3 linked regions of the Tamandua tetradactyla genome follow. The protein of the gene in region 1 purifies or fractionates together with the protein of each later gene. This does not show direct contact. Links are inferred from orthologs where the notes say so. Each region holds a gene or a part of one and is shown in the gene's direction. Other genes may lie near its edges.

Region 1 (7,955 bases):
TTCCGTGCCATCCCCTAGGCTCTGCTGCCCTGGGAGGCAGGTGCCGGCAGCAGGAGCCGTGCAGGGAGGTGGGGAGATGGCACCCGCTGGCCCCAGGAGCAGGGCCGAGGGGTGGGGCCCGGGGATGTGGCCCCGGGGACCTCGTGCCTTAAGCCAGGGGCCCCATTTTGGGGTACTTTCCCCGGGGTGCAGAGCACTGGAGAAAGATTTCTCTCCCGAATCCTGGCATGGGGGACCCTGGGCAGGGCAAGGATAGAGGAGCTGGGGCTTGAGTGGCTCTTGGGGGTGCGGCTGGGGGTGGTGGAAAGGACAGCAGTGGGGGCTGGGGTGCAAGGCCGGGAGCCACTCACTTTGAAGAAGGGCTCGCTCTGTCTGCGGAGGTCGGCCACCGTGAGGGCTGAGCGGGCAAAGCCCACGATGAAGGTGTCTTCGGGCAAAAGGCCATCGCGGAAGAGCCACCTGCCAGTGGAGCATGGGGAGGGCTGAGCGGACCGGGCTGGGCGTGCCCCCCACCCCAAACCGCCTGCTGGGGGTGGGGGAGGAGGCCTTGGGGGTGGGCAGAGGGGGTGGTGGGGGGCGCACTCACCAAATGGTAGGGTAGATCTTCTTCTTCGCCAGGTCACCCTGAGTCAAAGGGAACAAGCGTGGTTAAGGGCAGCTGGAGACGGGAAAGGGGTCCCCCCTCGCCTCTGACCCCGGCCCTGGACGTCATGGAGCTCTAAGCGGATCTATCTCGTCCCCATCTGTAGCCAGAGGGGCCCCGAGGTTAGGGATGGAGCTGGCCCCTGGGGCTGCGTGCCCCCCTGCGCCCGAGCCCACTGCTGTCTCGGACAAAACCAAAGGGCCACCAGCAAACAAAAGGCGACCCCATGCTCCCAATCAACTGCTGAGACAAAGAAGAGCGACCCTAAACGAGCGCCAAGAAACCTACCAGGTAGCAAAATACGTGAGGCATGGCCTTCGAAGTTTAAATTGTAAAGATGCACGGATGACCAGGAAGGGGATAAGGTGAAAAAAATATTAAGAAAATGGAAAACAAACCACCAAATCAGATCGGCCGAACCAAAAGGTGGTGCTTGAAACGGAAGACTCAGAAGAGCGAGCCCTGCAGCAAGAAGGCTTTTTAAAAGGTACACGTAAATAGGATCAGGAAGGAGAAGGGGAGAGAACCACTGACACGCAACCCAGAAGAGGAGCTTATGAACAGCCTTATGCCACGCCCAGCAACCCCACTGAAAGGGATAAGTTTCTAGAAAATTCTGACCTACCAAAATGGACCCCGAGAAGGAGGCGGGGCCCGGGTGTGTTTCACCTATGGGCTCTGCCCAAAAAAAGCAAGGAAGAGAGAATACCAGTGTGCAACAGACTCTTCCTGCAAACAGGAAGGGGAGCAGTCTCTGTTGCAGGTTGAACTGTGCCATCACCCGTCCCCCAAAAAACCAACACCACATAAAGCTATGTTTGAGCTCTAATGCCTGGACCCGTGAATTGTTTGGAAACAGGGCCTTGTGATTTTGGACCTCTGGCCTTCAGGGCTATGACACATGAGAGCGCCATGCAGAGAGTATTGGCAGTGATAGGCGCATTTAAGATGCTTCTGGTGAGGCTCTAGAAGGAAGTGACTGGCGTGACATTCAAGTGGCAGAGAACCTGACTGTATGGGGTCATAGGGTTGGGTTGGGAGTAGAAGCGGGAAGCCATGAACTTCGATGGTTTAGCTGAGGAGCTATCCAAGCAAAGCCGGGACGGCACCTCTGGTTTACTTCTGGCTGCTTCTGGGAAAATGAAAGAAATGAATCGGGGACCGAACCGTCCAACAGAAAGGAGATTTGGAAAATCTCAGCTCAGCTGGGTAGTGTCCCGTGGCGACAGGACTGAGGGGGCGGCTGCATGGCCATCTAACGCAGCAATCGAGGGGTGACTTATCAACCCTATCGACGGCCTCGGCACAAGTCAGGGATTGAGGTGGGGTTATCCAGGAAGGAACTGGGCAGAGAGCCCTCATTTCTAAAGGTGGGTCTTCCATGGAAGGTCGACAAAGTTTTTGAGAATTTTCTACTGGCAGAAACACAGCCAGCTTGGAGTGAAAGGGACAGAGACGGGACAAAATAAAGAAAGGGTGACTCCCGGGCCACCGAGGCCGAGGGGGTGGGCTGCGACCACAGCAGGCTCAGAGGGCAAAGCACGGAGCCATCAAGGACTCTCAGGCCTTGTAATGGAAGCGAATTTGCCCTATGGGGCTGTGAACTTGCTTTCGGCTGCTGACCCCTCCTCCTCCTTCCAGCTCCCCTGTCTCTGAATGGGAATGTCTATCATCTGCCTGACCCACCACTTGTATTTTTGGAAACTTGTTTTCTTAAGTCTTACAGGTTTGTGGACAGGGTGGCGATTTTAGGTCAGCGCTTTACACAATTGAGAAGGTAAACTTTTGGACTGAGCATTGATGGGAGGCCAGGATGGGGTGCATGTATTTGGCACCCAGGAGGGATGTGACTTTTGAGGGGAGGGAGGCTCAGAGAGCAGACTGCTCTGGGTTGGGCCTGTGCCCACTCACCAAATACAAATTCAAGTCCTAAGCCTGGTCCTGCCAACGTGACCTCATTTGGAAATTGGGTCTTTGAAGATGTGGGCAAACTGGACTGCCAGATTGGCCTGGAGCCAATCTGACTGGTGTCCTTATAATAAGAGGAAAATATGGACAAAGAGACAGATAAGACATGAGGGAGAAGACAGCTCTGAGAAGACAGCGGTGGAACTGGGGTGCCACCAAGAGAGCCTTTAGAGGAAGCACCACCCTGCTGACACCTGGATTTCAGACTCGCAGCCTCCAGAATTGAGAGAGAATCTATTTCTGTTGTTTGAAGAATCCCCTCCCCCCAGCCCTGCAAGCTGGTGCCACTTTGTACCTTCAGCCCCAGGAAACTAAAGAAGGCTCCCAATCTTTTTATGTGGCCAGCAGAACTTGGATACTGAAAGCATCGTTCACATGCTCAGATGCAAATGCAAAAATGCCAAAGAAAACATCAGCAGACCCAATCCTGCAATGCTAAAAAATATAATACATCAGAATCCAAGGTGGGTTTATCCTGGAAATAATGGAAGTTATCTTGGAAATACGTTGGCTTGGTATTAAGAAAACAAAAATCAATCTTTGAAAACCACCCCACTGACAGATTAAAGGAGAAAAGAAAACACTAGAAAAAATCTTTGCCTGCTCTATAGGTTGATGTTTTTTTAAACTAGCAACGTTGCTAAACTCAACAGATGTAGAAAAAGTGCTCCAGACAATTAAATATCCAGTCATGATAAAAGCTCTTTTAAATTAGGAAAAAAAAGGAAATTTCCTTAACCGGTTAAAAAAACAAAAAACAAAAAACAACAACCTATGGATGTCATACATAACGTGGAAATGTTGAAATATTTTCTTTTAAGAAACTGGGAACTAGAAAAGAATGCCCACTATTGGCTCTTCTTGTCAATGATGAACTTGTGGTCCTAGCCCGTGCAGTAAGGCAAAAAAATGGAAAAGGTATAGGGATTGGAAAGGAGAAGCCAAACTGGCCTTGATTTGTGGGTGAAAGTCTACCCAAGTGAAAAAACAGAAACTCCCGGCAACCCGCTGATTAATTCACAGAATTAAAGAGAGTTTAGCAAGGTTCTTCCCAGAGGAGAACTAAGTAGAGGGAGCATGTTCTTTCATCTGCCAAAGCTGTAATTAAGAGAGCGTGGGGATTGCGTGGGGGTGAGAAACCCACGCTCCTTTGGAGTGCTTCTAGTCACTGGGGAGAGAATATTCTAAGCAGTGCAGGGGAACTGACAATGATTACCAGAACTTGCATCTTGACTCTTACCAGACCAAAGAACAGACTCCTGGGATTAAGGTCCTGACTATGAAAAGCAAAATTAAGCTTTGAAGCTTCCCTGCAAAGACCTATCTGATTTTAAATGAACCAAACACCCTATCTAACAGGCTATTGTGGAAACAACTTTTCTTTTCCAGGCTTTGAGGCGATTTGGGAGATGTATCTGGCCTGAGCTATCTGATCCTCTCTGAGCTCAAAGGAATGTTCTAGAAGGCAGGTGTAATGACACTCCCCGCCTCAGCCCAGCATTGCCTGTGGAGAGGCTAAGTGCCAACTCATTTCTCCTGCACCCCCACCAGAGGCTTTTAAAAAGTTAAAAGTCACCCTAGACCCCCAAATTAAAATAATGACCTGGCTGGGTCATGGTTTGATGAGTCTACGTCTCTGGGACGGTTGCAAGATGTAGGACCGAAATCAAAAGAATTCCAACCCTGTTAAAATCCCGCCTACCCTGCCCTGCCCGAGATTGGTGGAAAGGTGCTTGGGGGGTTCTCCTGGTGGGGAAGTTTCCACACTGTGCCTCCGCCACACCTGCCAACTACTCACTCTTTCTACCCTGTCTTCAGGCACGAGATGGGTTAGGATGCCCCCGTCAGACCTTCTTGCCCATTGCCTGCCCTCATGGTGGTCCACTGTGGCCAAAGTAGGTGGCCTGCTTTGGGCCTGCTGGGTGGCCCTTGGACTTGCACCTCTGGGGGCACCTCCACCCAGCACATCAGGGGCTGTCCTTGCACCGCCATCCTCTCTGTGTCCCCCAGCACCCGCTGGGGTGCTCCTCAGGACGCACTGGCAGTGTCTGCTGCTGGGGGGCATCTACTCCTATCACGGGGGCTTAGGGTTGTCCCCCCACCCCCAGTTCAGAAAGGACCAGCCCACTGGGAACCAGCACTGTGAACCATGGTCTACAATCATTTCTAAGCCTTACTCACTGTGAGTCTTGTTTGCTTATGATTAAATTCCAATAGGTTGGGAGAAATCAGAAGAGCCTGGGCTATTGCCTGCTGAGTCATAGCCCGCCCCACACCCCGAGCTGTTTGTTCTTGCTGTTCCCTTTGGGATTAACTAGTGATAGAACCTGCTTGCCTTGTTTCGGCTTCAGCCCCTCCAACCCACACCCTGCTTGTCTGCAGTCACCCAACAGAGGAGAGGTAGGATGAGGAGGTGCTGGTGGTGGCGGCGACGGCAGTGGGGGGTGGCCCAGGCAGACCCATACCCCCCTCCTGGCCAGGGGATACAGGGGCCAAGCTGCTCTCCCCAGCCCAGGCTTGGGGGTGTCAGGCCCTCCGCGCTGTCCTGCGCTGACTCTCTCGGGATCCTTTTGGAGGGTCAGACACGGGAAGATGTTAGGAAATCTCACGGCTTGGTTGATAAAATCTTTCTAACCGCAGCCACATGTGGGGGTTGGGGTTAATTGAAGGGTCCATGGTGAGAGGAGGGCGGGAGCTCCCCATCTTTCCCAATCCTCTCATTTTGCCTAAGGACCATGGGGCGGGGGCAGGATATGCCCAAGGCCATGTGGTAAGTTCATGGGAGGACTAGAAGTGATTAGGATGTCAGGCCACATGTTATCTGGCCAGACTGGGGCAAAGGGACCTTGGCCCCCTTTGGTCACTGTTCAAGACTCTGCCTGAGACTTGGCCTCAGCTTCCTGTGGAAGAACCTAAGATAGTTGACCCAAACCACTGCAGATATCTCTCTAGTATTAGGGGTTCAGGGCCCAGAGTGTGGCAGCTAAGAGCCCCAGAGAGCGGCTGCCTGCTGAGACCCATGACCCCTTCCCTCTTTGGGTCATGCAGGTCAGGAAAGAGCCCAGCACTGTGGGGTGGGGCCTTGGCTCAGGCCCAGCTGGCTCCTGATCACCAGGGAGTGAGAACCTGGGGGCTGGCAAGGAAAGTGCCACCCTGGGGCTCGTGAATCACAGGCCTTTGGGGGCGTGCCAACATCATCGTGACACAGCAAGAATTTTATCGGCCCAATGTGTGTGTGTGGGGGGGACTGGCCCAGAAATGTTCCGAGGAAAGGGTGGGGCTGGGGTTGCCAGGGCCATCTCTCCCGGGGCCAGAGTGGGCTGGGTCATGGGCACCCATTCAGTCCTGAGCCCTTGGGATCCAAGTGGGGAAACTGAGGCCCAGAGACGTGAGGAGCTTGTGGAGGAGTTGAACTTGCCCATCCTATTCTCCCCCTCTCCTATTACTCCGTGCCCCACCCCCCTCAATTTGAGGAGGTCCCCTCTAATGGGAAAGGAGGTGCTCTTCAGCCTTGATTAATGTTACTAGTTGGGGGAAGACATAGCCTTCAAGGTCCAGGGTTCTTTCCCCCATGTGGGTCCATAAGGAGAAATAAGCTTCTTCTATTCTAGAGCTTTCTAGACCAGAATCCCTGCCACTGGGACATTTAGCCTCTCTACTCTCACATTGGATTGGGGTGGGGATGGGGAAGGCAGTCCTGAGAAGGGGGGAAGTGGCCACTCGAAGGGGGAACAGCAAGTGGCTCGAAGCCCATTTTGTAACTCATGAGCCGAAGTCAGGCAGTTTCTAGGAAGGAAGCTGGGTAAGCGTTGGGTAAGTGGGGGCAAGGGAGGTGGAAGGGGAAGCTCTTGGCCATGTCGCCGGCCCCCAGGGTGCCTGGCAGCCACCAGCCATCCCTTGCAGCTTGTTCTTGACTTGAGGTTTAGCCTGTGCCCTTGCCTGTCCTCAGGGCACACAATGCTGGGTACAGAAGATGCACTCAGTGGGAGGCCACTGGCGGGATGAATGAGCAGAGAAGTGCTGCTTGCCTAGGGTTGTGGGTTGCAGGAGAACCGGCTCCCAGCACCACTGCAGAGGGAGGAGTGGAGAACGCCCAGGGGTGGGAGCTGTTCTAGGTGCTGCCTGAGCACCGATGCTTTAAGGGAGAGTCCCGCCCATCCTGTTCTGAGAGAGAAAGAGCATAGGCTCCTAGGAGGACCCCGTACCCTTCCCAGGGCTGGGGAGAACAAAGGGAACCTGACTGATGGCTCGAGTCAGAGTTGTGCAATGCCAGGCTGGTCGTGGGAGTCACAAAACTAGCTCGGTGGGGTCCGGGGACCCTTGGTGCTTATTTCAAAAGCCTTCCTCGACTCCCCGGAGATGCTGCGGTTCGAGCAGGGAACACTGCTGGCCCCAGGCCATGTGGCAGGTTTGAGTGCTCTCACTGAGACGTCACAGGGTTGAGGGCCTGGACAAGCCCCAGGACGCTCTCGAGGGGCCCTCAGCTGGTGTCTGGAACCTGGGAGCTCTACTGGGGCATCCGTGTCACCAAGCCAGTATGGGGGCAGGGGATGAGGAGAAAGAATGCCAAGTTACTTTCTCCCTGAACCTGTCTCTTTGACTAAGGGGCTAATGTTTGCAAGCCCCAGTGTTAAGGAGGTGTGGCTCCTTTAAGAAGCCAGAGCCCCAACCCCGCCCAAGCTCCTGGGGTGACAGGGAGTCAGAGGAGAGCACCTGGGGCGGCCCTCCCTTGCCTTTCACTTCCCATCGGTGGAGCCCTTCTCCCTCCCACTGCCTCTTGCCCTGGTTTTTGGCTTGCCTGCCTCCTCCCTTTTGACTCCTGATTCCTGATCAGAAACACACAAGTGGCAGGGAACAGGCTCTGCGGAGGGCAGTGGCAAGTTGTTCTGTGCAAAGAGCCACCAAGTTCCCCCAGCGCCGAGGGGGAAGGAAGCCCGTGACGGAGTTGCAGAGAAATGGCCTCCTGCACCTGCTCGCCGGTTTGGGTCGAAATCTTAATAAATGAACGGTCAAGGCAATTGGTTGACAGTGAACAGGTTCTTGTCACACCTAGGGGTACAAGTGAAAAGGGAAGGGTACTCTGAATTCAAGCAGAAACCCTGGCAGCAGCTCTCAGGCCCTAGGGCTTGCCTCACTGGTCAGCACACCTTGTTTCCATCTGCTCTCAGGGCAAGTAGCTAGGGACAGGGGAGCACGGCTTAACGAGGACTGTACCCCCTGCCTTCCACCTACTTTCAGAGTGCTATGCCTCTGCCTGTGCCTTTATTTTTTGTGGCCTTTCCTATCAAAGCAAAAATGGCAGTTCCCCAAGCAACACGGTCAGGCCAGGCAGGGCTCCTCTGTG
Region 2 (7,088 bases), on another chromosome or scaffold:
TACCAGGTTTGGGGAAAACTAGACTATATTTTAAGAGGATTGTTGGGAGTCCCAGAGGAGTTGATGGAAAGCATAAATGCAGAGTGTGGGGAACATTTTCAGTTTGGATGCAGCACAAAGTAATATGAAGGAGAACAGGTAAATATACAACTGAAAAGACAGAATAGGTCCACATCATGAAAGCTGTAAAGGTCAGGGCAATGAGCATAGATATTATTCAGCAGACAAAGAGGAATGTCATGATTACAGGTGCGCTTTTCTAATTATTAAATATAATGTGTCAGTGATATTAAAATGGGTAAGATAGCTGGCTCTGAACCGTCTGGGAGTATGCCAATCCTGCTGATACCATGCATGCAATGTTTTCCAGGCACCCATAGCTGCTGGCTTCTGGCAGCGGTAGGCCAATGGGAAGCACTGGTGGGAGACTGGAAGTCAGAAAGAAGAAATCAGCTCCTTTATTAGAGAGGTCCACTTTTCATGTTCCACACAGTCAATCTAGCCTCTGGGTTGCTTCATTTATCTTTGTTCTCCTGCTTCAGATTGATTTCTTACTCTTTCTAACATGAGTCACCTTATGTTTGACCTCTCAGCTCTTCTATCACCAATATAACCAATTTCCTCATTAAATTCCCTCCACATTACAGATTCATATTGACTGGTTTATGTTTTCCTGGATGATGACTCATGCAGAAAGCTAATTAACCTATTTCAGAATATAAGAAAGTTCTGGACTTTTCATAAATAAAAATGCCCCCACTTGCCCATAAACTTTAATAGTTATGCCCAGAACTCTTGAAACCTATCCATTAATTCCAGATAAGAATACTGAAAAAGACAAAGAGGTAAACACATAGCTACAATAAAATAAGTAACAGACAATGCTATGAGAGCATTTAAGAATACTAACTAACCTTGGAAGAGGTTTCAGAGATCAGGTTTGATTTGAACTAGAGTAAAAGTGTATGAGGTAGAGAAGGAGAAAAGCACTGTAGGTTAAGTGGATAGAATACATAAGAACATGTGGAGAAATTGCAAATAGCTTGGTATGCTGTGAGCATACTGCTGAGGTTGAGAAGCTAAGATCACGCATGATTGGGATAAATTACACAAAGCATTTTGTATGAATACTGATAAACCAAACTAGCGAGCCAGAAGCAATAAGCTATGTTTTGATGTATTTTTGGCCTAGACTATTTAAAGAAATCTCAGTAAGGCAATAGTTATCTGTAGCTGAGTAGTAACCAGGGCTGTTCAGGTAAAGTAGTGAGTAAGAAACACACAAGTCAGAGTGCAGTGTTCTGAAGAAAGAAGGGTAGATAAGGAAGTAGAGCAAGTAAGTAGAATTCACTGTTCTTTGAATAAGCTTCAACTGTAAAAGGGTGCTATAGGGCATTAGATAGAATGTGAGGTGGTATCTAGTAAAGTGTTTTTAAGGGTAAAAAACCTAATTTTGTGGACTCTAAGGGGTGATCTTATTTTTCTCTTCATTCTTAGCAATTAGCACAGCATTTGCAACATACTAGGCACCCAAAAATTGGCTGAAGGAATTTTATGAAGAAAAGGGACCTATAAGTAAGAGAAGAGCTGAAGGGGAGGTGGATATGGATGGGAGTAAGAACCATGAGCAAATAACAACATTAATATTTTAAGCCACTAAGTTTCAGAATGGTAGACCTTTATGTAGTGATTTGGAAGGAGCTTCAAAATATTATGCCAAATGAAAAAGCAAGCGCAGTGAGTGTGGGGCACCTTGCCATTTTGTTGTTGTTCTATATATCCTTTTGCACAATTTGAAGTTTTAGTACGTGCAAAATTGTTTCAACTTTTAAAATAGAAGATGTAGTGCAAATGCTTTAGAAAGATTGTTGTAACAACAGTAAATAAGATGAATAGCAAGAAGGAATCTATATGGATGGGAAGCTATGACAAAAAGCCCAAGTAAGAAGTAATACACAAAATGTGGATTAGAAAGAATTTTAGGATAAGACAACAATGACTGGAGTTTTTATCCATTAAAAAAGGTAAAAAGTCAGAGCAGCCAGTTTGTGCAGAAGAAATATTCACAAATTGATGTGGGGTATTCCAAATGGATATTGAAATTGCTTTTATAAGTTTAGCAGTTCTCAAATAGAGATGATTTTGCCACCCCCACCCTTCCCCCCAGAACTTATTTTCAATGTCTTAAGACATTTTTCCTTGTCACAACTGGGGGAATCCTACTGGCATCTAGCAGGTCGAAGCTAGGAATATTGCTAAACATCCCACAATGCACAGGACACCTCCCCATAACAAAGAAAATCTGGCCCAAAATGTCAATACTGTGGAGGATGAGAAACCTTGTTTAAGACTATGGTTCCTGAAACTAAACTGGATTACAAAACTGCCAAAACTCAAAATGCTTATGTAAATAATGAGGAAAAATAAAGCATGTCAAGGTACACCGTGAAAGTATACTATTGATTGGCTTACATATATTAAATGTAACAATTACAAGATCTCAGGTTTTTACGACAGATACTGATGCAGGTTAACTACGTCCTTATTCAATCCTGATAAAACGAGCTAAAGATCAACCAAATATTCGTTTAAACTTAAGTCATTAAATTGGTTTCTCCAAACGGGGGGGTGGAACCATTTCTCTCTAATGTTTCATGCCAAACGTGCTCATCAAGGCCGCCGTACAAATACCGTTGTTTTTCGACAGGGCTGGATATGTAAAAAAAAAAAAAAAAAGGAACAAGACAAATGGGTTTTTCTAATGATAAAATAATGGCAGTAAAGGCTATGGACACTGTGAGAGGTTTCATCACTGCTGCTTACATTTAGGGGTGTCACATTTGTCTGTGTTTAACTGGCTCAGGTTTTGAGCTTTACATGTCTCACGTTCTCAGCAGTACAATCCTCTTTCTTCCTTCAGGGGACGGACAACAAAACCCGGTGGCCCACAAAGACAATACACACTGACAGACAACTAGTCCATGGGACAAACTCTCCTCAAACGGAGGAAAAACTACCGAGGGCTAGAAAATATTCAATTAAAAGGCATTTCCTCTCTTAAGTTTTTGGTTAATCAAAGGAATAGGAATCGACTTATTCGGCCGAATTATTACGGAGAGCGGGGAAAAGAAGAGAATCACCCTCACTCGTCCCAAATTCGTAGTTGTGTAAAGGCGAGATATGCGAAGGACATCAGGAAGATCTCTCTACAAAGCCAAGCGGCTGCGGTGGAAGTTCTTCTTTTGACTGCTCGGACCCAACTATGACCAGCGAAAGTAACTCGAAGGTTGAAGAAAGCGCAGTCTGTTCGTCACGTAGGCAACTCTCTTTCAGGTATCTCTACTTAAGTGCCCAGGCCTGACTTTTCCCTCAGAATCTGGGCCCCAGGTGTACCACCCCCTGCTTCTCGTCAGCCCTCCTCTCCTACGCAAGCCTCTGAAGAGCACCCGCACAAAGAGTCTTAAACTGCCCAAAGCCTCCGGCTGAAGCAGAATCACCCCAGGTTTGAACTTGTGGGCGGGGAGGCAAAACCTCTAAGCTCCCCCGCCCAGGGAAAACCTTTGGCCCCCAAAGGTCCTTCCGTCCTGCTTTTCCTGGCCCAGTAACCCTCTCTCTCGCATCCGCGCTTACCCAGTACCAGCCGGGCTACATCCGAAGGTAACAACATGATTGAAGTCTCAGAAGGAATCACAATAAGAGAAGAGACGCAGGTAAAGGCAAACACAAACCACAGCTCCAGCGCCGCATCTCCCGGTTCCAGCCGCGGCACTGAACCCGCGGCAACTTGTCCCGCCTCTTTCGCTCCACGCTAGCCAATCGGTTCCGCGAGAGAAAGAAAGGCGCCGAAATGAGACCCGCCCCCGTTCTCCTTGAAACTGTCGTCATTTCCGCCCTTATATTAGCAAGGGAGAGGCTGAAAAGGGCAAAGAGGCGGGGTGTAAGAGACTGAGCCCGAGATCGAACGTCAATTGAAAGCTCGCTCTCCATTGGTGGAAAAGGCGCAGGCGCGTTTCCTGAGAGAGGCCAAGTGTTTTGGGACGAGTATTTTGAGCTAAGGAAAGCGCACGTGATATTTGGCGCGCATGGGCAGAGCGTACGTCGGCGTGGATTTAGCAGAGCCCCTTCCTCCCAAGACCCGCGCTGCGCGGTCACGCCGCGTTTTAACCGAAAGCGGGAATAGGCGCATGGATAACGGGTTCGAGAAGCTACAGCTGCAGCTGCTGGAGGAGGCGAGAAAATCGGGAATTTGAGCTGCAGCCAACGCCACGTCAAGAGATACCACTTTGGCCACCAGTGCCGTTACCGTCGCAGTTCAGCGGTAGGGGCGCGGAGGCAAGTTTCTGCTTTCTACGGTGGAGAATTCATTCGTATCTGAGCCATTCTGTCCTCTCTCCCAGACTCCCATTTTTACGTTTTCTTCCAGAGTGTCCCTTTACGCCACCTGCTTCACCTCATCTTTCCACACCTCCCCCCACCTCTACTTCCACCACCCACCCCATTACCTTCTCTTGTCTCCACGCCCCTAGCGGATTTAGCCTTGAACCCTCTTATGAATGTCTTGCTTTGAACCCACCTCCTGAATTGGCAAATCAGCTGTTCCTTTTTAGTCCTTAGCTAGGTTTATTTGATCCTTTCGTGGAATTTGACAATGTTGCCTACGCCTCATCTTTCTGGAAATAAATCTGCCATTGACAGATGGCTCTGTAGTCAGATATAATTGGTTCACGTCGTGGCTCTCTGCCACTTATAAAACGTATAATCTTGGGCAGATTGAATCATCTCTCCAAACATTTCCTCGGCGATAATAAAAGAAACTAATCTCCTATGTCAAAGAGTTTTGAGGATTCATGTACCATTTTTAACATAGTTCCTGGAACACAACAAATGAACAAGGGTATTGTTTAATAGTTGAACCTGTCGAAGAGACGTGAGTGCTCTTCTCGTGCTTTAACTATCTCTGTTCATCTTTCATGTCTCAACTTAAACGTCATGTTTCTTTAGAAGAGATCTCTTTAAAAAAAAAGTAAATGATCCTTTTCTTATTTTTTTCATATTCCTGTTAAAGCACTGTTTTGACCCATTCTAAGAGAATTTAATTTTAAATGTGGGAATATTAAGAAAAGTATTTGCCTTTGGTCACATTTTGTCTCTTGCACAATTAGATGTAACAATTATATATTAATTCCATGGTCTAAACTAATTTTGAATGCTTATGTATTTTCTACAGACAATTATATGTGATCTGAAATTCTGAACCATGAGTTTAGCACTTAATGATCTGCTTATTTGCTGCCGTCAACTAGAACATGATAGAGCTACAGAGCGAAAGGTAGTAAATTACTTTAATTTTTCTTTAAAGGGTTGTATGATTGGTAACCCATTATTATGTTCATTTTTCATTTTCAGAAAGAAGTTGAGAAATTTAAGCGTCTGATTCGAGATCCTGAAACAGTTCAACATTTGGATCGTCATTCAGATTCCAAACAAGGAAAATATCTGAACTGGGATGCTGTTTTTAGGTATTCTATTCAATTTTTTTGCCTTTATTTTTCTCAATTTCATTTTCAGTTGTTTTCACATTAGGTTTATGTGTGATCTTATCTTTGCTCTCTATAAACTACTGTACCTTGCATATGAAGTTAATGTTTAATATGTTTGTCTGAAATACAGTTTTTAAAGGAGGTTTATATAGAAAAATTAAAAATTTTAAATCATTTGTTTCATAAAATGTCTTAGGCTTATCTCACTCGAGATAAATTGAGAGGGAATTCCTTTCATCTTGGTCAGTTTATAAGACTTTATTTCAAATTAGAGAATGAAATTAAGCTATAGTAAATACTTAATTATAACTTTGACAACTTTAAATATTGCTTTTGAGTATAAGTAACTACCATGTGCTAGATTATAATGAAGTAAATAAAGGAAGATTAGAAAACTTTCATATGGATACAATTTAAAAAACAAAACTCAGGCAATGGCATATTTTCAACTTCAACCTCTTCAAGATCAAAGAGAGAGATGTTTATTTAGTGCAAACTTTATATTCTAGGTAGAACTTATGTAATTTGCCTTGTACTGGTCAGTTTACTTGAACACCATAATTACATGGAGTCTTGAATAGGGCATGAGATCTTGTTTTTCTACAGGTTAGTGTAATGTGGGATATATCCCAGAGTAATTTGGACAGAAAATAGAAAAGTATTTGCAAAGTTCCTTTGTGGGACTGGGGAGAAAGAAGGAATGTTCAACTTCCCTATCTGGGGAATTCCTAATATTCTTGCAAGCAATGGGGACAACCAATTCAGTGGGCTGAGCCCTCAATCTTGGGATTGGCCCCTGTGAAGCATATTCATACAAAGGAAAGGCTAAGCCTATTAATAATTATGCATAAGAGTCACCCTCAGAGAGCCTCTTTTATTACTCAGATGTGGCCTCTCTCCCTAAGCCAACTTGGTAGGTGAACTCAGTGCCTTCCCCCCTACGTGAGACATGACTCCCAGGAGTATAACTCTCCCTGGCAGTGTCGGACCTGACTGCTGGGCATGATCCAGGACACAGCATTATGAGAATGAGAAAGCTTTCTGACCGAAAGGGGGAAGAGAGAATGAAAGATAATAAAGTCTCAGGGGCTGAGAGGTTTCAGACAGTTGAGAGGTTATCCTGGAAGTTATTCTTATGCTTTATATAGATGTCCCTTTTTAGTTTATGGTATATCGGAGTGGCTAGGGGAAGGTATCTGAAACTGTTGAACTGTGTTCCAGTAGCCTTGCATCTTGAAGAACACTGTGTAACTGTGCAGCTTTTCACTGTGATTGTGTGATTGTGAAAACCTTGTATCTGACGCTACTTGTATCCAGGATATGGACAGATGAGTAAAAAAGGGGGGGAGGGATAAAAAAAATAAATAATAGGGGAAAAGAAAGGGTAAAAATTGAGTAGATTGAAAGACTATGGGTCAATGAGAGGAAGGGGTAAGGGGTATGGGATGTATGAGATTTTTCTTTTTATTTCTTTTTTTGGAATGATGTAAATGTTCTCAAAATATGGTTGGACGGTATGTGTGTGGATATTTCTCATTAAAAATATTA
Region 3 (7,599 bases), on another chromosome or scaffold:
TAAATTTTATTCATATGAATAAAAGTATTATTCATATAAATATTTAGAGATTACATAAAATTCCTAGAGATTTGACAATGTTCTCACTGTCCTAATACTTACCTGCACCATATTAGACAACAGTGTGGTTTGGTCATAATTTTAGCTTTTCTTAGAAATGCTACACGCCACAAAACAACCAAATTTCCTTGTCAGTTACGTTGTTTTACTAGGATGCTTCTCTGAAAATGTCTGCAGTCAGTTATAATTCAGAGCTTCATCTTCAGCCATAAAAGAAAAAAAAGGGACTTTAAATGAGAAGTAAGACAAGTATATAGATTATGTTCTACTCTGGTAAAACTGTAAAGGTAGGACAGGGTCAAAGACCACAACTGATAGTGCTCTTTTGGACGTCTTCAAGTGGAATTTATACAACTACCTCCTTCTATAGGATATGAACATGTCCTTGTTATTGTATATCTATTTTCTGGATGGATAAAGGCTTTTCCTTGTCACAAAGCTGCAGCCCTCACAGTAGATAGAAACCATTAGACTTTATTTTCTCCACCTGGGGAATTTCTGCTATTCTCTCAAGGGATAGAGGCTCCCAATTTACTGAACTTTAATCAAGGAACCAAAAGCTTCACTGTCCCTAACATATTAATTGTCAGGAAAAGTAGAATGAAAAAAATGGTACCATAAAAATTAAATTAGCTAAATTATTTGAATCCTTCCCTCTACCACGGCCTAGGGATCTTTCTTTAGCCTTGATGGCCATAAGGTCTAGCCCACCAGGAGAAGACTGGCTAACCCCCTATGAACTCATAATGGGAAGACCCATGAGGCTTATTATTTCTCCTACTTTACTGATTCCAATCTAAATATTTCACATTTACATTGTGAAGTTGCTAATTATTGTAAGGAATGAATCTCATATACTCAGTTCCACCATTCACAGATCTAGGCTGCCTTTCCCAAGATTCCTCAATATTGAACTCTACATGATCTTTAACCCGGAGGCTTGATATACTGGGATAAACATCAACAAAGAGTGCCTTAGACCTCAGAGAGAAAGGACCTTTTCAAGTCTTATTGACCACAACTACAGCCATAAAACTACAGCAGTATAACTGACCCTTGGGTCCACATGTCACAACTAAAACGAGCTCCAAGCCCTTGGAAGATTAATCCCATTTCTGACCTCAAGCTAAAATTGACACACAGATTCCAGAAACAGACAGCATTTGACACAGACAGATTCTGCCCAAGACATTGGAACAAGTAGATGGTGCCCTAGAACACACCTGAATTTTATTGTATTCTCTGTCTCTTCCTTTTCACTATCTGTCTAAATGTTCTCTTATTCATCCTACATTCCTTACAATGCCCAATATCCATCCCCAATAATACCCTACCTTCATCATGATTTTACTCTATTTCTCCCCTAGGTACACCTGCCTTGAGCACAATTCCTTTGTTCTTCTAGCACACCATATAGCAAAGGAAACCAATCAGGGTAACTGCTGGATCTGTACACATCCCCCACTTAGTCCCCAAATAAGTATTCCTCTAATAACCATCCCCCTTACACTTGCAGACTTGGTCTGACAGGAAACATCTGATACCCAGTCAAAGAGATTATTTTTGGGGAATGACTCGGGGTTGTTCCTTAAGAGCCCCTGAGACTGGGATTACCATGCGGCTTCTCTAACCCAAAGAATATGTTTTTACTAGAAAGCAGACAGACAAAAATGGCCATTTTGTAGGGATAGTATATGTTCAGTTTCTATGTGACAAGACTCCTTTTACTTTTATGAGCCAAGAGTACAATGTTGGGGCCAGTTTTCTGATACCAGTTTTCTCCAAGCACCCCAAGGTTTTAATAGCATAAGAACTTATTCCACTCAAGGCACAAATATTTCTGGTAGGCTGAAAAGCCAGGCGAGGGAAATCGTTGATTAATTGTGACTAAGATATCAGGTAACAATGAAGACGATGTTGGATTAAGATTCTCTTTTTGGTGTTTACACCCAGTTAGCTCTACACAACAATGTTCCATTCATTAAAGGCAATAGATATACCCTTATTAAACTCTTCGAGGACACTATTTTGTATGTAGACAAAAATACTACCTGTAAATTGGGTTAGTTCTTGTAATGCAACTTATGCTTTTCCCCAAATGACTACTAATGATAAGCTTTCAAAAGGGAAAATTAGAGACAAGAGTGCTCTTATGGTCTCTTCCAATACTATAGAAACTTATGAAGAGAATATTGCCAACTGGATCATAGAAAAACCCACTAGCCCAGGCTAACCTCATGGAGTGTTTTGTTCTTGGTACTGTCCCCCTTGTCATTAGGGAAGCCATCTCCTATATGGAAGATACACTAACCAATTACAGTTGGTAATAGAAAAGGTAGCTTTAGAGTTAGAAAAATCTATCTCCCACCCAGGGCAGGCATCAGCTCACTAACTGGCAAAGTATTGGAACTTTGAAAATGACAAAAGGAGTCATTTTGTCTATAAATTTAGAGGAGTCATTCCTCTACAAGGAAGTGTGTGCACTAGTGGGCACACAGTGCTTTGTATTTGTAAATGACAGTCAAAAGGAAGTTTACTAAGAGGTAGTAACAACAGAAGCCCTTGCTTGAGAAGTGTCAGTTTACACACCTCCTGAATCTGATTGGTCTGAGTCTCTTTTTGGTTGGATTCTAGGGTCATGGGGATCTTGGCTCAGAGATATTCTAATAAGGGCACTTGTCATCCTTTTAATCATATTTATAATATCCCTCATTTGTTGTCTGATTTCTGTCCTCTTAAATGCTGCTGCACAGTCACTAACTTGACAACTGATAACTGAGGATTCAAAACCACTCTGAATGGGATGAACAAAAATCTTGAACTTCAGCTAACCTATGAAAACAATAATGAAACACAAGGCTTCAAGTGGCAAATAAGAGACTAACAACATCTTTGGTAAAGCCTTTGAAACAGAGGGAATGACCATAAGAAGGAAAATTAATAAAATTATATAAAGACAGCTCTGGGGACCCTTCAGAGCCCCCAAACCCCGTGCGTTACTTCCTCTTTGAACTCTCTCTTGACTTTCCCCACCAAGGCAGCTGACCCAGATAACCAATCGATACCCCATTTTATTTGATCCAATACAAAAGGAAGCCTACCTGATCTAAACCTACCCCTATAAGACAGACAAACCCTAGTCCAATCAACAGGAGTCAAGCTATTTTTTTTTAATGTCTATAAAAATCGTTTGCCATCCCGAGAACCCAGAAACTATTTCGCTTCTTACAAGTTATCTGGCTTCTGCTGCTGCAGCAAAACTTTTGATGTCCCAAACAAAATGCCGCAATTTGCAAACTTGACCCCGTTTGTCTTTCGACAATGCCCTTCCCTACTGCCCCAAAGCAGAAATATTTGTCGGGTGCAGATGTCCAGAAAGAGACCTTGAACGACCAAGGACTGTCTTAAAAGTGATCCTGTGGGCAGGTAACCGTGGCTCAGTGGCAGAATTCTTCGCCTGCCATGCCAGTGACCCTGGTTCATTTCCGGAGCTTGCCCATGCCAAAAATAAAAAATAAACGATCCTGAACAGAAGGTGGCCTGGCCACAGTTCCAGAGATGGGGTGCTCTTTGCCTCTCAAAACAGACAGCCTTTGATGGGGCCGGTTCATCTCATCACTAGAATCAGTTACCATACCTGTCCTGAATGCCCTGATGGGGATGGGGTGTCCAGGGTAAGGGCGCATTTTTTATTTTGCAAACTTTTCAAAATAAATTTTTATTTCTGTTCCATAACCACTAAATCCAGCGAGAGGATGCTTGGTGCAGTCTCTAACCTCAATGTTTCTCTGGCTGTGCATCGCACACTCTTATTACAGGCCTCGGTGTCTACACACAGGCCTGACCTGTGTAGGCCCTTGGCTCCCTAAGCTTCTCGAGGCAAGCACTGCAACCTGCTTTCCTCTTCTTTAGGGACTCAACAGCGCCAGACACACAGCAAGCGCTCAATAAAAGTGTTTTTAATCCCATCACCACCTCCTTCAGCCGCCACCGCCCAGCAGCAAAGAGGAAGCAGAACTAGACCCAGGAGGGGGAGCGCCTCGCCGTCTCCAAGGTAACCCAAGTCAGAGACTGGGAGTGCCCGCGCACGCGCACATTCGCCCTTCCTTCCCGTAACCTCAAGAAAGCAAGCGGTAAAAACTGCCAGAAGCCGAGCGCGCATGTGTAGTTACACCAACCACCTCGACCGCCTCCGCCTTCTGTCAGTCTGTTCGCCCTACAATCTCTTTTCTATAAACTGTCCGGAAAGATTGCCCTTTTCTGGAAACTGGGCCTCGAGAACCAATCGTCGCTAGAGGGGCGGGCCGACAGGGGCGGGCCTAGGAGAGCACTGGGGCCGTCTCATTGGTTAGTGTGGGGGGGTGGGCGGAGCCAAGGATCACGTTGAGGCCCGAGAAAGCAGGCTCCAAGCGAGGCAAAGTTGGAGCCGCCGGGGGAGGCGTGGCCGCGGGGGCGACCGGGAAGGTGGTGAGGGGGCGGGTCCCGAAGCCGGGGCGGGGCGACAGTGCTCCGGGAGGGCAGCCGGCGGCCACCCGCGACGGGAGATCGCGGGAGAGGGGAGCGCGACACTTGCTGGCTGGGGAGATCGGCGCTCGGCCGGTAGGTGACTGAGCGGGACCCCGGGGTCGGCATTGAGAGAGTGGCGGGGACGAGTTGCCCCCCCGGTCCCTGAGCCGGTCGCGGCCTGGCCGGCTGCCCAGGAGCGGTGGGGGTCGGCGGCTCGACCCGGGCCCTAGCCAGACCCACCCGCGCGCGGACCCTCGGTCCTCGCGACCCGCCGCCAAACGCCGCGCGCCCTCACACGCGCTGCCGGTGCCACGGTCGCACGCCTTGCCCGCCCCGGGCCTCCAGGCCGCACTCTCGCAGGCCACACGCTTGCCTGAAGCGCGCGCAGAGGTGCTTTGCTTCCCCTTCCCCAGCACCCCCCGCCACTGCGCCCAGATGTCCCACAGCCAGGCCGCACCCCTCCTGCGCGGTTCCCTGCGCGTCCCCCAGGAGTGGGGCTCACCCCGGCACGGGACGGAAGGTGTTTTCTGCAGAAGTGCGCCTGGTGGGTGCACCTCCCACCTGGCCTTCGCTGGCAAGTTTTTGGGTCACACTCCGAGGCTAGGAGAAGGACCCAAGCCTGCCCTCGGCACCCAGAGGGGCACTGCTGGTCATGGCAGCATCCTCCCTCCTTTCTGGCCCCAGCTCTGCTCTGTAATTCTTCTGTCCTCTCCACTCAGGACATCTTATCTGTCGGCTCTGATTAATATTCCCTTCTTGGAAGCCCATCGTGGTCCTGGCAACTTGCAGCAGCTGGGCACCAGGCAGAGAGTGGCGACTTGTACAGTGCAGAGAGTCCCACCGCCCAGGAGCCTCCTTGGTGCTTGGAAACTTCAGAAAAGTGTCTCCGTCCTAGCTGAGGTTTAAATGTTGCTTTTAACCCTAAAGGGGTGATTTGGAGAATATTGAGTGGTTGTGGGGAAGGGAGGCTCAATGGAGAAAAGATAGAGAAATCAGCCGTGAAAGTGACAAAATGCTTTTTGGTAACTGGAGACAAAGAACACCCGTGACTTGATCTAAAATCAAGTGAAATTAAATATGAGAGTGGGGCCATGACACAAACTAGCAGTCTGAAGTTTATTCCAGGAAAAATGTTGAAAACCCCTTGACTAGAAACGTGGTAAATCTTTCTGAAAGATTACAGGAAGATAGTATCTTAACAGTTGTGCTATGTTTTTTTTTACTTTACTAAGTATCTTCATACCTGTAATCTCCCTTTTCCTTCAGACATATGTGTGAAAAAATAGAATGATCCTGTTTTATAGGTGAGGTGGGGGGAATGGGGTATTATATTTTTTGCCTGATACCTCAAAGGCATCATAGCTAAGACTGAGGGTGGAAACCTGAGCCTGGATCTCTTGAGTCTTCCCAGGCTCCTTCCCCTGGACCAGGACAACATAATAGGAATCAGATGCAAGAAAGAGGAACAAGTTTTTGGTGTGGTGTTTATTATCTCAACATCAGAGGACATTTAAGAGGTGCTTGTCTTGATTAGAATGTGTTTAGATTTACTCTTGTGTTTTTTAGGTGATTGTTAAAGTCAGTTACTTTGGTTTGGTGTGCCAGACTTCTAAGCTTTTCAGACACCTTTAGGACATATTCTTTGTTTTTTTGAAGGATGTGATGAACTTTACAGAAGATCTCAAAATAAAAGTAACAGTTTCTAACTTTAATTTTAGAAATAAGTACCCAGGTATATGTTCCAGTACCTTTGTGAAATCAGACAGCAAGAAACTACAAAGCTTGGAGTCATCTTCGGACTATTTTCAGATTACAGGGAGCAATTCTGAAGGGGGTTTTTCACTCATGGTATTGTCTGTTAGAGTTTGTGGGAGCAGCACCAGAGAGACCCTGCCAAACGGGCCTTCATCTATTAAACAAAACTGTCTGGTTGGGCCGTTTATCTGAACAGATGGAGATTTGGTTCCTCATTTTGATTCTCCTGTTGAACACTGACTCCTTTGTAATCTACTTGGAGTGTTTATCATTTAATGTTGAGAAGTGGGCTTGCCCTCATTAGTTGTTCAACCCTAGACAATTGTTGTGATTTTGTGTGTGTGTATGTATGTGTGTGTGTGTGTGTGATAACAGTTCATCCCTGGCCAGAGTCTCGTGAGAGCTCTGTAGAGCTGTGAAAGAGGTGAAGCTTCATCCAGGATTGTTTTCTTTGTTGTTGGCACCCTCTTATAAGTGTTCTATAACTTTGGCCTGTGAAGTCCCTTTTAATTTCCTTTTTTTTTTTTTCCTGTTTCAATGGACGGCACATGGGCTTTCTTAACAATGCTGCCTGCCTTGATGAGGAGCTGACAAATTCACATTTATTGGCCTGAGAGATGGTCTTTCTGGGGGGAAAGTTCAGAAAGTCTAAAAACCAAATTTAGTCCTATATAAAAAGTATAAATCAGCTTGATACACAAACAGGCAGCATTTTTCTACCAATGGCTTCCATCATCTCAAAGCTGTTTTTTTTTTCCTGGCAAAAGGTTAAAATGCAACTAAAATTCTGCTTTCATGATTAATAAGTCACTACCGCAGTTTTGTCTGATGCTTCCTGTTTGCACCATTTTAGCATTTCAGTTAAACTGGAAACATCTGAGCATTATGGGCACTTTTGATGGCACCAGAGTGAAATTGGTGGGGAGAGGAGGAAATCCATGCCAGTGAATTTGGGAAACTGTAAGGAGAAGCCAGCCACTCCAGCCTCTGCACGCTGAGAGCTCTTGTAACAGAAAGGATTAGAGGTTGAGCATCTTCAAGGGGCAGAGTAAGCATTTAGAGTGACGCCCGTGTAAAGGCTGCTGACTGAAATTTTGAAAGCCTTCGATTAGAAATGGAAGGCCAGGCATAGGGCAAATTGTGTAGGCTAACATTTCAGTTGAGCTGAGCAGAACATTGAAGTGTGTTGAATATGGGTCTTTAGTTCTGGGCTCATCTTCTTACCTGAGTGCCAATGCTGAGAAAAGAAATTTTTCATTAGTGCCTGTGCTTCTTTCT

What was found. The genes of interacting proteins can lie anywhere in the genome.
Region 2: the proteins of IKBKG (region 1) and ATM purify together in Homo sapiens (affinity purification with western blotting; 7 studies listed by BioGRID and IntAct, with this or other methods). This does not show direct contact. The link is inferred for Tamandua tetradactyla from reciprocal best matches to the Homo sapiens genes IKBKG and ATM.
Region 3: the proteins of IKBKG (region 1) and MAP3K14 purify together in Homo sapiens (affinity purification with mass spectrometry; 6 studies listed by BioGRID and IntAct, counting the BioPlex papers as one, with this or other methods). This does not show direct contact. The link is inferred for Tamandua tetradactyla from reciprocal best matches to the Homo sapiens genes IKBKG and MAP3K14.

What each region holds. Positions count from the first base shown.
Region 1 is NC_135353.1:6,923,345-6,931,299, forward strand, and holds the start of IKBKG (NF-kappa-B essential modulator), read left to right. Parts: upstream 1-4,897; 5' UTR 4,898-5,011; intron 5,012-7,955. Other genes in the region: G6PD (glucose-6-phosphate 1-dehydrogenase), read right to left, coding at 351-459, 587-624. UniProt on the Homo sapiens protein: Regulatory subunit of the IKK core complex which phosphorylates inhibitors of NF-kappa-B thus leading to the dissociation of the inhibitor/NF-kappa-B complex and ultimately the degradation of the inhibitor.
Region 2 is NC_135334.1:33,611,628-33,618,715, reverse strand, and holds the start of ATM (serine-protein kinase ATM), read left to right. Parts: upstream 1-4,038; 5' UTR 4,039-4,318; exon of another isoform or gene 4,319-4,332; intron 4,333-5,227; 5' UTR 5,228-5,257; coding exon 5,258-5,329; intron 5,330-5,406; coding exon 5,407-5,519; intron 5,520-7,088. Other genes in the region: protein NPAT, read right to left, coding at 3,631-3,667.
Region 3 is NC_135332.1:22,168,564-22,176,162, forward strand, and holds the start of MAP3K14 (mitogen-activated protein kinase kinase kinase 14), read left to right. Parts: upstream 1-4,549; 5' UTR 4,550-4,659; intron 4,660-7,599.